Linked DNA regions of Drosophila melanogaster. Changing the gene in region 2 together with the main gene of any one other region gives a genetic interaction. Each region holds a gene or a part of one and is shown on either strand. Other genes may lie near its edges.

Region 1 (3,754 bases), on a different chromosome or scaffold from region 2:
GAACACAAGTTCCACCAGGAGGAACTGCGAGAGCAGAAGCTGCGGGAAATCGAAGAGGAGGAACGCAAGAAGTTTGAGGGCACCCGTGTGACGGTGGAGTCCTTCCTCAAATGGAAGCTCGAATTCGAGGAGAGCACCGGCATTGCCGCCAAGCGGGAGAAGAACAATGTGTCCAAGAAGCAGACCGGACGCGAACTCTTTATGTGCGACAACACGCTCAACGATTCGGATATCAAGTTCCTCCTGGAGGCGGGTGAAAACATTGAAAATGTCAAAATCGATGAGACGCTGTTCCAGGATATTGGCGAATTGGATTTGGATGACGATGATGATGAGGATTGGGTGCCCGGGGCGGACGACGACGACGATTAAGCTACAAACTGTGTCAAACTACTCAAAGGCAAATTCGTGTATTTTATATAACATTAAATGCCAACTTCTTTATTAATCTAAGTTGTTTGGGCTTTGCATGCTCATTTCGGAAAGACGGAAACTGGTCTCCGCTTTAATGTCATCCAGGTCGAAGAACTCCTCATCGCTCTCCTCCTGCTTTTTCTTCTCTTCCACCTGGCTTTTCTTAACCACTGGCAGTTTCTTGTTGGGAAAATTTAGGTTGGACCAAGAGCCGGGCTCCAGCTTGGGCAGTTTAATCTCCACTTTGGTGCCATACATATGCGCGCTTGCATTGCTCACATTCACAATCTGCAAGGGGATACGATTAGTCTGTTTACCATGAAATTCAGTTGGACTTGGGACTTACTCCGCGCAATTCCAGGTCCAGGTCAAACCTGGCGTTGTCCTGCTCGGGAAATACCAGGTTGACGTGCAGCCTGATGGGGTTCAGCTCTATCACGCTCTGACTGTAATCGTATTTTTTAGCATAAATGGCCATCACCACATTGGTGGCCGTCTGGTGCCAGTCGTAGCGACATTGCACAACCTTTTTGTCGTCGTTCTATAATAGGGGAGTTTTTAAAAATTCTTCTTGTGTGTTCCAAGTCTCTTTGCTTTTTAGGGCACTCACCTCCTTGACCCATTTGTGCTCACCGTAGGTACAGCCCTTTTGCGCCATAAACTGGGAAAAGTCCGAGGTTCGTTTCTGGCAGCAGGACCAGAATTTCATGCCCTCGTGAAAGATTGGCACGCCCGGATGGTAGGTGCACTCGCCAAAGTCGCTGCTGTTACCCGTAAAGGAGTAGGTGCAGCCGTTATTCTTGCAAGTGGTTCCCACCTCAATGGCGTCGCTGGACTTTTGAGCAGCCGGCGTTTTGACTGCAAAAACCATGTCTTTCAGGGCAGGAGCCACGGTGGGCTGTATAACGGTTAGCGGCGAATCAATGGGCGGACGCGGCAGGGCTTCCCGGATGGGTGCCCGCACCTCAATTACCTCATCCTTGTCGGACTCATCTTTAACAGGTTTCTCCGGCTCTGGTGGCTTCACATTCGAGTGCTTTGCCAAGGTGCAGCCCTTGATGTTGAGGAACTCGGTGAAGTCGACCGACTTCTTGTTGCAGCAGGACCAACCCTTATAGGCGTCGTGGAAGAAAGGTTCACCCGGATGGTGCCGACAAGATTCTGGGCGGGATTACGGGGGGTTAAGCACTCAGCAGGAATGTGCATTGCCGGCTGCTTACCATCATTGTTGGTCTGCGGATCGAAGAGTTGGCCACAGCCTCTGTTATAGCATTGTTCCATGATTATTAAGTTTCGGTTGAACTAATTATGTATGTTTTGGTTTAACTAAATGTGTACAAATTTCGCTTAAAATCGAGAATATTCCTCTATAAGCAGATGTGTTCCATACGTTTTTACCATCAGCAGGGGCACCGATATCATGGCGTTAGTGAGTGATGGTCACACTGCGGGGGCTAGCGCGAAAATTCAAAATGATTGTTAACCTTATTTTCATTTTAAATTGTGCGTAATAATAGTATTAGTATACTATTCCAATTGAACTTATTTGCATTTGTAACTCTTCGAACTTTTTCCTGGTTAAATATGTGTTCGTTGAAAAATGAGTGCACTTCTTATAGTATAAACGTAACCAGTGATTTAAATACCTTGAAACATGTGACAAATGGCTGCTTTTTTGCCCACCGATCATCGCTGGTGGCTTTGGAAAGGCCAACAGTCGCGAATGGAGAGCAATTAAAAGTGATAGTAAATTTGGAATTATGTTAATTGCTGCCACTGTTTGGCCGGTCAATGCGGTCTTTATAGAATTTGCTAATTGCAAGACGGAATTGAACTGAAAACCATTATTTGCAAATCACCTGAAGGTCAGCAACCGACTGTGTTTGGGCTACGTGATATTCGAACGGAACTGCCAAGCGACATTTTCAAATTAGATCAAAGAATGGGCGGGATACTGGAGTGCTGGTCTCTGGCGGCTTCTAACTGGTTCCCGGAGGCCTCGGGTAATGTCTCCGCCTTGCATGATTGTTTATTTGTCGCACTCAGTCATAGACACACGTTTTCGCGGTTTCATTTTCATTTATTGCCCGCGGTGTCAGGGCATAAAATATATTTGCGCACAAGAAGAAAAAATGAACTGCCCCATTGACTACAAAAATTTCTCTCACTTCGAACGAAAAGTGTATTCAAATTCATCAATCTAATAAATTTTACATTTTATTTCAATAGTAACAAGGAATATTTCAAATATTTTGAAGCATTAACCTCTCGTTTTGAAATCGATATAATTTTTTCTCAGTGCAGTCGTTGAAACTGTCGTTTCGCTGGAAATTCTTGTGGTCAACAAGGTTATCAACACGTTAGCCTGGCTCTGTTCCTGTGTCGCACTTCAAAATATGAAATCAGAGAGAACGCTTTAGTCGAGTTTCACGACTATAAGATACCGATTACTCAGATTGTCGGAGTACGAAAAAGATATTGCAACATTTTTTTTTTATATTCCTAGAAATCGGCAAGATTGTGGGCATGACAATCTTCTAAAACTAATTAGCTTTCTAGCTTTGATATTTTCCAAGATCACAGAGGTCTGGCGGAGGAGGTCAGATCGACTTGCCCAGTGATCCTGATCAATAGCTCCTCATTCTGCCTGTTACAAACCTAACTAGTATACTCTGCGAGCATATTTATGGTATAATTATGACAAAGTCGGCGTTTTCCGCAGCTACACAGGCACATTCGTCGCTTTAACTGCGGCTGTGAATCATGCCATGATCCCATTGTTGTGCAACCGACCAAGAATTGTGGACTTTTTCTGGTGCGGTGCAATTCTGGCATTTGGCTTTTGACAATCGCAGAAATGCAACATATAAATAAATAAATAAATAAATATAGCGGACACTGTGGTCGCAACAGCGCCAGTGTCAGTGGAAATTAACACCGCCCGTTTTGACTTCGGCTTCGGCTTTTGTCTTTTGCCCCGGCCGCCCGGTCGTATACGTAATTTAGCATACAATGGCGAGCGCGAGCAAGAGCCAAATAACATGCAATTGTGGCACTGCTGTCATGTCATGCTGTACAGATTTCCCGCAACGGTAACATTCGCAGCATTCCAGAGCCACTGACGATGCCCAAGATGTGCGTGCTGCAAATGCCCGTCTACCATTGCCAATACTTATTTAGGCTACTAATCCTTATCGCCAATTGCCGATTGGCTGCCAATTTCCCAGCTGAAAGCTGAAGGGATGTTGCAATTAGGCCGCCGCAATGCAAATGATCTGTGCGCTGCACGCTCTCAAGTTCGTTTCCCAAGTCTTTTGTTTGCCAATCCAAATTTCAGGTA
Region 2 (3,754 bases):
TTTCGGGCCCCCAAACAGAGCGAGGCCAGCGCGTTGAGCAGAAACAGGCGCTTCGTGTCCCGCGTCTCCTCCAAACAGAGCATCGAGTATATTTCGAATGCATTTTCGGCGGCCGATCGCTGTGGATCCAGGCGGTAGAAGTCCTCCGGATCCTGCGAAACTGTAATGGAGGAAAAGTTTCATTGCTTTTCTTATCAGATCCGTACACACTAATTACTAATTAAAACAACCTTTTATGAATGAATAATATGGCCACATCGATGTACTTGAATATTACATAAATATTATTTGCAAGTAATAGCTTTTTCGGATATGCACATGTTCAAATCATCATAGTACATGGGGTTTTTACGGTCAAGAGGAGGTGCACACATGCATGCACACAGCGACTTGCATTAGAAAGCCATCAAAGTGAAATTGATCGTGGATCGTGGAAAGCTAATCAGCTCAGCCGCTGCCTCTGTCTCTGCCGACGCTGACGCAGGCTGTGCACGTGAAATGACAACAACACAGCGTCATAACAGTTTCGTTGTTGTTGCAGTTGTCGTCGTTACAGCTAACTGTACTTGCATGATGGATTTGGTTGGAAAAGGGGGAGAGCGACAGAGAGAGAGAGAGAGAGAAAGGAGAGAGCATGACGAGCGAAGAAGAACGAAAGAGTGAAGGACACGATGAATGGAAGAAACCAAGCTGAGCATTTCGTATGTTATTGTTTTTGTAGTTCTAGTAGTGGCTGTTGTTATTGTTGTTGTTTCTGCTGTTGCTATCGCTGTTATTGTTATGGTCGATGTTTAGTGAATGTCTATGTTGTTGCTTGTGCTGCGTCATCGTTTTTGGGGGCTCTCTCTATGCTGTGGCGACCGTTCTATAAATAATCGGCCAACATGTAGTCGAAGAATTTGGTCAAATGGCAACAGCAACAACAACAAAAGTAACCAAAATAAAACCAAAAAATACATAAATAAAAATAAAAACTAAATAGAAAATAGAAACGAGAACAACAACAAATGTATAAATAACGGAGGAAACACTGAGGAGATCAGGAGAAATGTTGATCAGAATGCCATGCTGTCGATACATGCGTACATCACTGTTGCATCGCTGCTACATCGTTACCGTTATGGGCAATGCTGCCAGTGTGCTCATTCCCGCCCCCCTCAACAACATATTATTGTTGTTGCTAGTTGCCATCAATGTCAACAAAAAAAAGAACCCTTTGCTACCAATTATTGGCCAAGTCCAATAAACAGAAGGCTGCTGGAGGGGTAGGTGGGGTTGGGGATGAGGTCGGCTCAAGATCCACAACAACAACAACAACAACAACAGCTGCTGCTGTAATGCTTATGCCTCGCCGTAATGCAAAATAATGCAAACTGAATGGAATGGCGGGGGTCGGTGGGGCGAGCCATGTGAGACAAAACGTCGAACGGAGTGATTGCGCCATTATGCCGATGCCACCGTCGCCGTGTTTGATGTCAATTAGCACATTCGTTACATTACCTTTGATGCGTAATTGTAATTTGCTCCGCTTGCCAAAACGCCAACTGGAATGTTGGGAGGCCATCGCGTTGCTTCGCCTCTTTTTCGATTCGCCGATGGGGGCGTGGCGAGGCGGGTGCGGCGCCGTCGCCCGCTCGCCTATTAGCTGTATGTCGAACACACACCCACACACCACAACACACAGATCACACTTAAATATATTGCTTTTCAATTTCACTTGCTGCACAATTTACATTTTTTTTATTGCTCGCCGCTTTAAAGTGACCGTCGTCGGCGCAGGAGAAAAAACCAACTACGAAGCGCCACCGCGGGCACGAGAATTTGGAATATTTACGCGACTTTCAATGAAAAACATTTCATTTTACACTTACATCTTACATTTACATTTGACATACAATTTTGCTTGCTTACTTCCTCTGAAAGGCTAGTGTCTGTAATATAATGAATTTCTTGTGCACTAATTATAAAAATTGAACGGAAATATTCAAAATATTACCTGAGAAATTCGAGGACAGCTGAATTACCCCCAGATAGGAATTCTCCTTATCGTAGAACTATTTTATATGATTATAAATTACGAAATTAAAACAAATACTGTAAGGGAAAATTTACTTAATATTCTTCTGCAAGATTATTTGGTGACTTTTTTTTTGGAGTCAATATATGTCATGTGTATTTACTCTACTTACTAATTTACATCAACTTGTTATATTAAAGCATACCGAGGTGCACAATTAATTTTCGTCACAAAGTAACAATGCTATTAACATATCGTAAATACCACACATGCAGTTGGTATTTTCGAAGGAGCCGCAAGCGGTTACACGGCCGCCCAGACTGTTATCGAAGTCGAGTATGCTCTTCCTCTTCGATAAACGCAATATTTTGCAATAAAGTAAATTAGTTTTAAAACCACAGTGGCGAGCACTTTCTGAGCAACTCGGCAGCCGCAAGCACTGTTCGCGCGTATCCGGTGCACAGGGTGAGCCCTTCGCGAACGCGATACACCCCACTACGCTCGAATTGTCCCGAAATCGTTGTTTTTGTTGTGTGTGGTGTTGGCTAGTGTTGTGCTCTTCATTGCCTTCCGTTTTTGCTCTGTGTATCTGTGCTCGGGTTCACCAATCCAATCGCAACGGCCAACTGATGAGTCTCAATTGTGTCCATTAACGCGACGCGAGTAGCACCCACCCACCCTCCTCCTCCCCCCTCCAACACTTGCCAGTTGGGCCCGCGCCCCACTTCACACCATCACCGCCAACGCCAGCGCCCCACCCGCAACCCCTCCTCCAAATCCGAAACGAAAACCAAATCCCAATCCATATAGTAATACCCAACCCAACCACTGCGAGATGGCCAGCAGCAGTAGCAGCAACAGTTTTGGGGGCGTGGCCGGCGTGAACGGGGATCTGTGGCGCGAGTGCGTCGCCTGGCTGACCAGGTGCAAGGTCATTCCGCCCGACCACAAGGCCGCCCAGCCGGACGCCGAGATCCGCATCCTGGCGATGACGCTGCGCGACGGCGTGCTGCTCTGCAACCTGGTCATCCACCTGGACCCCAGCAGCTTGGATCCGCGCGAGTTCAATCGCAAGCCGCAAATGGCACAGGTGAGTGAAATGCGAGAAGCAAGTGACTTTGCTGGCAAATTGTGAATGGGTGGCACACTCTAAACCTTGTAAACAAGCAACACTGAGAGAAATAGGGGGAAGTATATCTGTAAAAATAATTTAAATCATTAAAACAAACATCACTTACAATTAGTGACAATAATTGGCCAAAACATCATAAATTCATAAAGAAATAGAATATGCCAAATTTATGCACGAATTTGCATGTGTGAATAAATAAATAATAAACATAAATATATATAAAATGAAATAAATGCGTTTCCAGAGAAAAATTACTGTAATAATTTAACGAATTCGATCGAAAATGTGTTTAAAATGTGCCGAAATAAATTCTCCGAAATCCCATATTTTGTTCAGTATGCCAAATTAGAGTGAAATATTATTGAACAATATGATTTATTATTTTATTTTTAAGTACGTCTGTTTTGAGTGAGAGTGACCTGAAATATAATATAATGCCAAATACAATTAGAATGGCACGTAATTAAATTGAATTGAATTTAATTGATCCATTGCAGTTCCTGTGCAGCAAGAACATCAAGTTGTTCCTGGACGTGTGCCACAACAACTTCGGGATCCGGGACGCCGATCTCTTCGAGCCGACAATGCTGTACGACCTGACCAAC
Region 3 (3,754 bases), on a different chromosome or scaffold from region 2:
CCATCACCTCGCGAGCTGCAATTTTGTGCTCCTGAAGGAGTGTTCAAATTTAATGACACTTTAGAGCGAACCAAGTAACCTGGCCACTCACCTCAAACACTCCGGGCAGGAACATCATGAAGTTTCCAATGCTCATCAGCACATTGATCCATCCGGATGCCGTGTACATGTTGAAGTGCATCTTGCCCCACAGCCAGACGTGTCCCTGATCTCCCAGCGGTGTGACTGCCGCCTGCAGAGTTGGACCAATGATGAATCCAAGGACCTGTGCCAGCGAAACCATTGCAACGGCATGTGTGCGTTCGCTGATTCGTGTCGCAGCGGACAAATAGGAGCGGCACAGGGCAATATTCGCCGAGCTGACACCGATGAGGAACCGCGAGGAGAGCATCCAGTACTTCACATTGTCCGGACGCAGTTCCAGCGAGGAGTATATGCCACTGGCCAGCGTGAATAGAGACAGCGATAGCAGCAGTGGCAGACGAATCTTGCCCAGCTTGTTGCCCCACCACCCAAAGATCGGACTGAAGATCATTTGTCCCAGCGGATTGGCGGCCACAATCAGTCCCATAAACTCCTTGCCCGCATCGGGATCTAGCTGAAGAGAGATGAGATTGAAAAGCAGCTGGATAGCGTGACCAAAATGGGTACGCACCTTGTTGAGGTAGGGCCAAATGCCTGTGAGTATGATGCTGAAGCCAAGCGCCATCAGAAACATCGTAAAGTAGATGATGCGGACGGAGCGCCAGCGCTGCTTGTACTCCTCCAGCGTCTCCAGGCCATCGTCCACATCCTCCGGCAGTCTTTTGGTTTCAAAGCGAGCGGAAACTCGGCGGGCAAACTCCATAATTGGTTTGCTTGGCTGTGATGTTTGATGGGTTGGTTGGCTGCGATGGATGTGTGTTTGCTGGATTTCACCGCCACTGAGTCATTCTGTAAATGGATTCGAATGAGTTTTTTTTTTCTTTATGGAGCTTTTTGTGAATCGATGTGTCAGTTGTTAGACACGCTTTTAAAGTCTTGTAACTATTAATGATTCAGAGTAGAGTATGTCTCTAATCGGCGGTGCCTTCAATTACTTGAATATGGATGGAGTGGATTATCTGCCAGACGTCGCGTGATTATCCTCCTCCGAAAAAACCACAGATATGGAAAACAGTTTGCTGAACTTATCACACAAATTGCGGAAGATAAAGGCAATCGGTGCCGAAATAAAGCTGTTTGTAGTTATTCGTTGCCATGTGCGGGTGTCTGTATGTCGTTTTTCTTTAGTAAGAGCCACTATCACTGTGAGTATGCCATTGTTTTTGTTTATATGGCATGATAAGGTTCGTACAGAACGTCAGTTTATTACATGATTTCATTTATCAGAGCAAAAGAAATTGATTCGCCCCAGTACAGGGTACGAAATAAAAACATTTTGTTATAACTTTAGTTTTCGATAGTGCAACAAGTGCAGCGATTAGCCATATCAATCAGACTTGTCCACTTCCTACATCAATCAAATCATCACTGGTTGAAGATCACTCCGTCGCAAATCAATTTCTAATTGATTATACCAATTGCCAATTGATGCAGTTGGTTTTTTTTTTTTCTTTTTTTTTTTAGTTGAGCGCCAGATTCTCGTTCTCGAAGTACCCAAACACACACACACACATCTTTCAGATACAAGATACTAGATATGAGATAGCGACCGTTGATCTTTGGCTGCCTATTGTTTTTTTCGTTAAGCTACTTTGCCTTTGCACTCCTTGCTTTGATTTTCAAATTACTTAGCTTACTAAGTTGTATTTTGTTTTTCGTCACACACTGAAGCAAAACTATGTAAATTAAATGGAAACATGCACTCTTTGTTTTTTTTTAAATTACTCTTTCTTTGTCTCACTCTCGCTCTCCCGCTTCCTCTCACTCGATTTTTGTAATATTTAACCAAACGCAAAGAAAGCGCTTTTCTCCCTCTGCCAATGGCTATATCTGTATCTGTATCTGTATCTGCGTGCATGTATCTTTCTGTGCATCTAGAACTCAAGGGCACCCCCCTACCGCGCGCATCCTATTTGTGGGGCTTCCAGCGGGTAATGCACCTTTTACCAATCGGGCTATGTCTTTTTAACTACCTGTTGCAGCGGAACAGCGACGACCACTGGAGATGAACGAACGCGACGGACTGAACTGAACTGACGCGGCAGCGCCTGTTGCCAACAAATCGGACGACGCGTCGCCACAGAGCGTGATGGAGCTGCCCGAAGAGAGAGAGGAGCCAACGGCAGATAGCACCCGCGCCCGAAAGTATGCTACTTAGATACTCCGAAATCTATGGCATCTGTAAGATAGATCGCAAGGGTTTTCTATTCAGGCAAAATATTCCTAAGCATAGTATAGTAACTTGTTATCAATCCACAATCCATGTAACACCAATACTCCTTCTTCAAATTATCATTATTATACTAGATCATCAGTAGAATAGATGTATCTTTGAGATTCGATTCGAGATCCAATTGAAATAATAGGGAAACTGAAGAATGGAGTTCTATAGAAACCTGTCTAACCTACCAAACTTCTACCTGCGTGTGTGAATACTATAATGACTCATTGGAAAACGATCTTTAAGAACGCCTTCATATTGTTACAGGTACATAAAGATCTTACTACTTCAGATACTTTAATTTCGAACGCTTCTATCTTCGCTGCTACTGCAGAACACTATAATGTGCAAATTTATATTTATTTTTGAGAGACCAAAATGCCTTATAAATATACAACAAATGATTATAATAATAAAAGTGAAAGTAAATTGGGTATGTTGGGTCTACAGATTTCCCTGTGCCTGCTGCAAACGCATCAGTCGCCGCTGCCTCAGCCAGGGCAGCAGGAGTCCACCTGGACGCTGGCCGGGAAGTGGAGCTCGTGGGGCAAGGTCCATTGGGGCAGCCAGGGTGACGGCTTCGGGGATGATCTCATTGCGCCGGAAACCACGGAAGGTGGCGCTAGGCCTGCGTGGCACACGATCCTCAGGCTGGCGATCCTTTTTCTGCGGCACATCCTCGTTTCTAATATTCAGGCTAAAGACATCCCCAGTGCGTGGATCGGAGGACAGATGACTGACCGTATCTTGAAGCACCTTGGGTATCCGCTCCACCACCTGCAAGGCATCGCGGAGTGGCCGAATCTCTCGCTCCGGTTGCTTGCGCGACTGCTCCTTGGACGCCTTGCTCTTGGCGCTCTTTCGGAACAAAGGACTCTTCTTGTTCTTCCGCGAGAGTGCATCCTTCTTAAGTGGAGCGGGGCGAGTCAGTCGCGAAGCTGACTGCTCCAGGAACCATGGTTCCCGACGAGCCGGCTCCTCCAGCTCAGCCTGACGCTTGAATGCCGATGGCTTGGCTGATGCACGCTGCTGCTTCTGGGCTCTAGTGCCCAGTGGCGAGGGACGCACCAAGGAACTGGCAAAGTCATTGAACCACTCCAGGTGATCGACGGACCTCTTGTGCCTTATCTGCTCCGAAGCCTTGGATGGCGTTTCTAAGCCATTGGCCGTACGTTGAATGACCAACTTTGTGGAGGGCTTGTAGATGGTTATGTTTGAGCGACGATTTCGAGGCGACTGCATTGAAGTGCTGGCGCTCCTGGCCACCAGATCTCGCTTCTGCTCGAACTGCTGTGCGTTGCGCACAAAGCGATTGCTGCTCGGTCCCTGGATGACGATTTCGAATGGTAGATTCAACGTCTTGGCATTCATCTGCATGGTGCGAATGCA

Evidence for each region.
Region 1: of rictor (region 2) and mora, changing one suppresses a phenotype caused by changing the other (phenotypic suppression), as found in Drosophila melanogaster (one study listed by BioGRID).
Region 3: of rictor (region 2) and Cln7, changing one suppresses a phenotype caused by changing the other (phenotypic suppression), as found in Drosophila melanogaster (one study listed by BioGRID).

Annotation. Positions count from the first base shown.
Region 1 is NT_033777.3:24,184,421-24,188,174, reverse strand, and holds mora (morgana), read right to left. Parts: upstream 1,817-3,754; 5' UTR 1,696-1,816; coding exon 1,635-1,695; intron 1,576-1,634; coding exon 1,025-1,575; intron 956-1,024; coding exon 761-955; intron 703-760; coding exon 445-702; 3' UTR 390-444; downstream 1-389. Other genes in the region: CG5515 (uncharacterized protein), read left to right, coding at 1-372. UniProt on the Drosophila melanogaster protein: Regulates centrosome duplication and mitotic spindle dynamics. Also involved in controlling the size of dendritic arbors. May act as co-chaperone for Hsp83.
Region 2 is NC_004354.4:19,259,487-19,263,240, forward strand, and holds the start of rictor (rapamycin-insensitive companion of Tor), read right to left. Parts: upstream 1,755-3,754; 5' UTR 1,565-1,754; coding exon 1,501-1,564; intron 358-1,500; exon of another isoform or gene 259-357; coding exon of another isoform or gene 231-258; intron 161-230; coding exon 1-160. Other genes in the region: Vav guanine nucleotide exchange factor, read left to right, coding at 2,853-3,107, 3,647-3,754.
Region 3 is NT_037436.4:7,343,013-7,346,766, forward strand, and holds the start of Cln7 (Cln7), read right to left. Parts: upstream 2,172-3,754; 5' UTR 2,118-2,171; intron 1,373-2,117; exon of another isoform or gene 1,080-1,372; intron 934-1,079; 5' UTR 848-933; coding exon 656-847; intron 599-655; coding exon 92-598; intron 32-91; coding exon 1-31. Other genes in the region: CG14834 (uncharacterized protein), read right to left, coding at 2,810-3,754.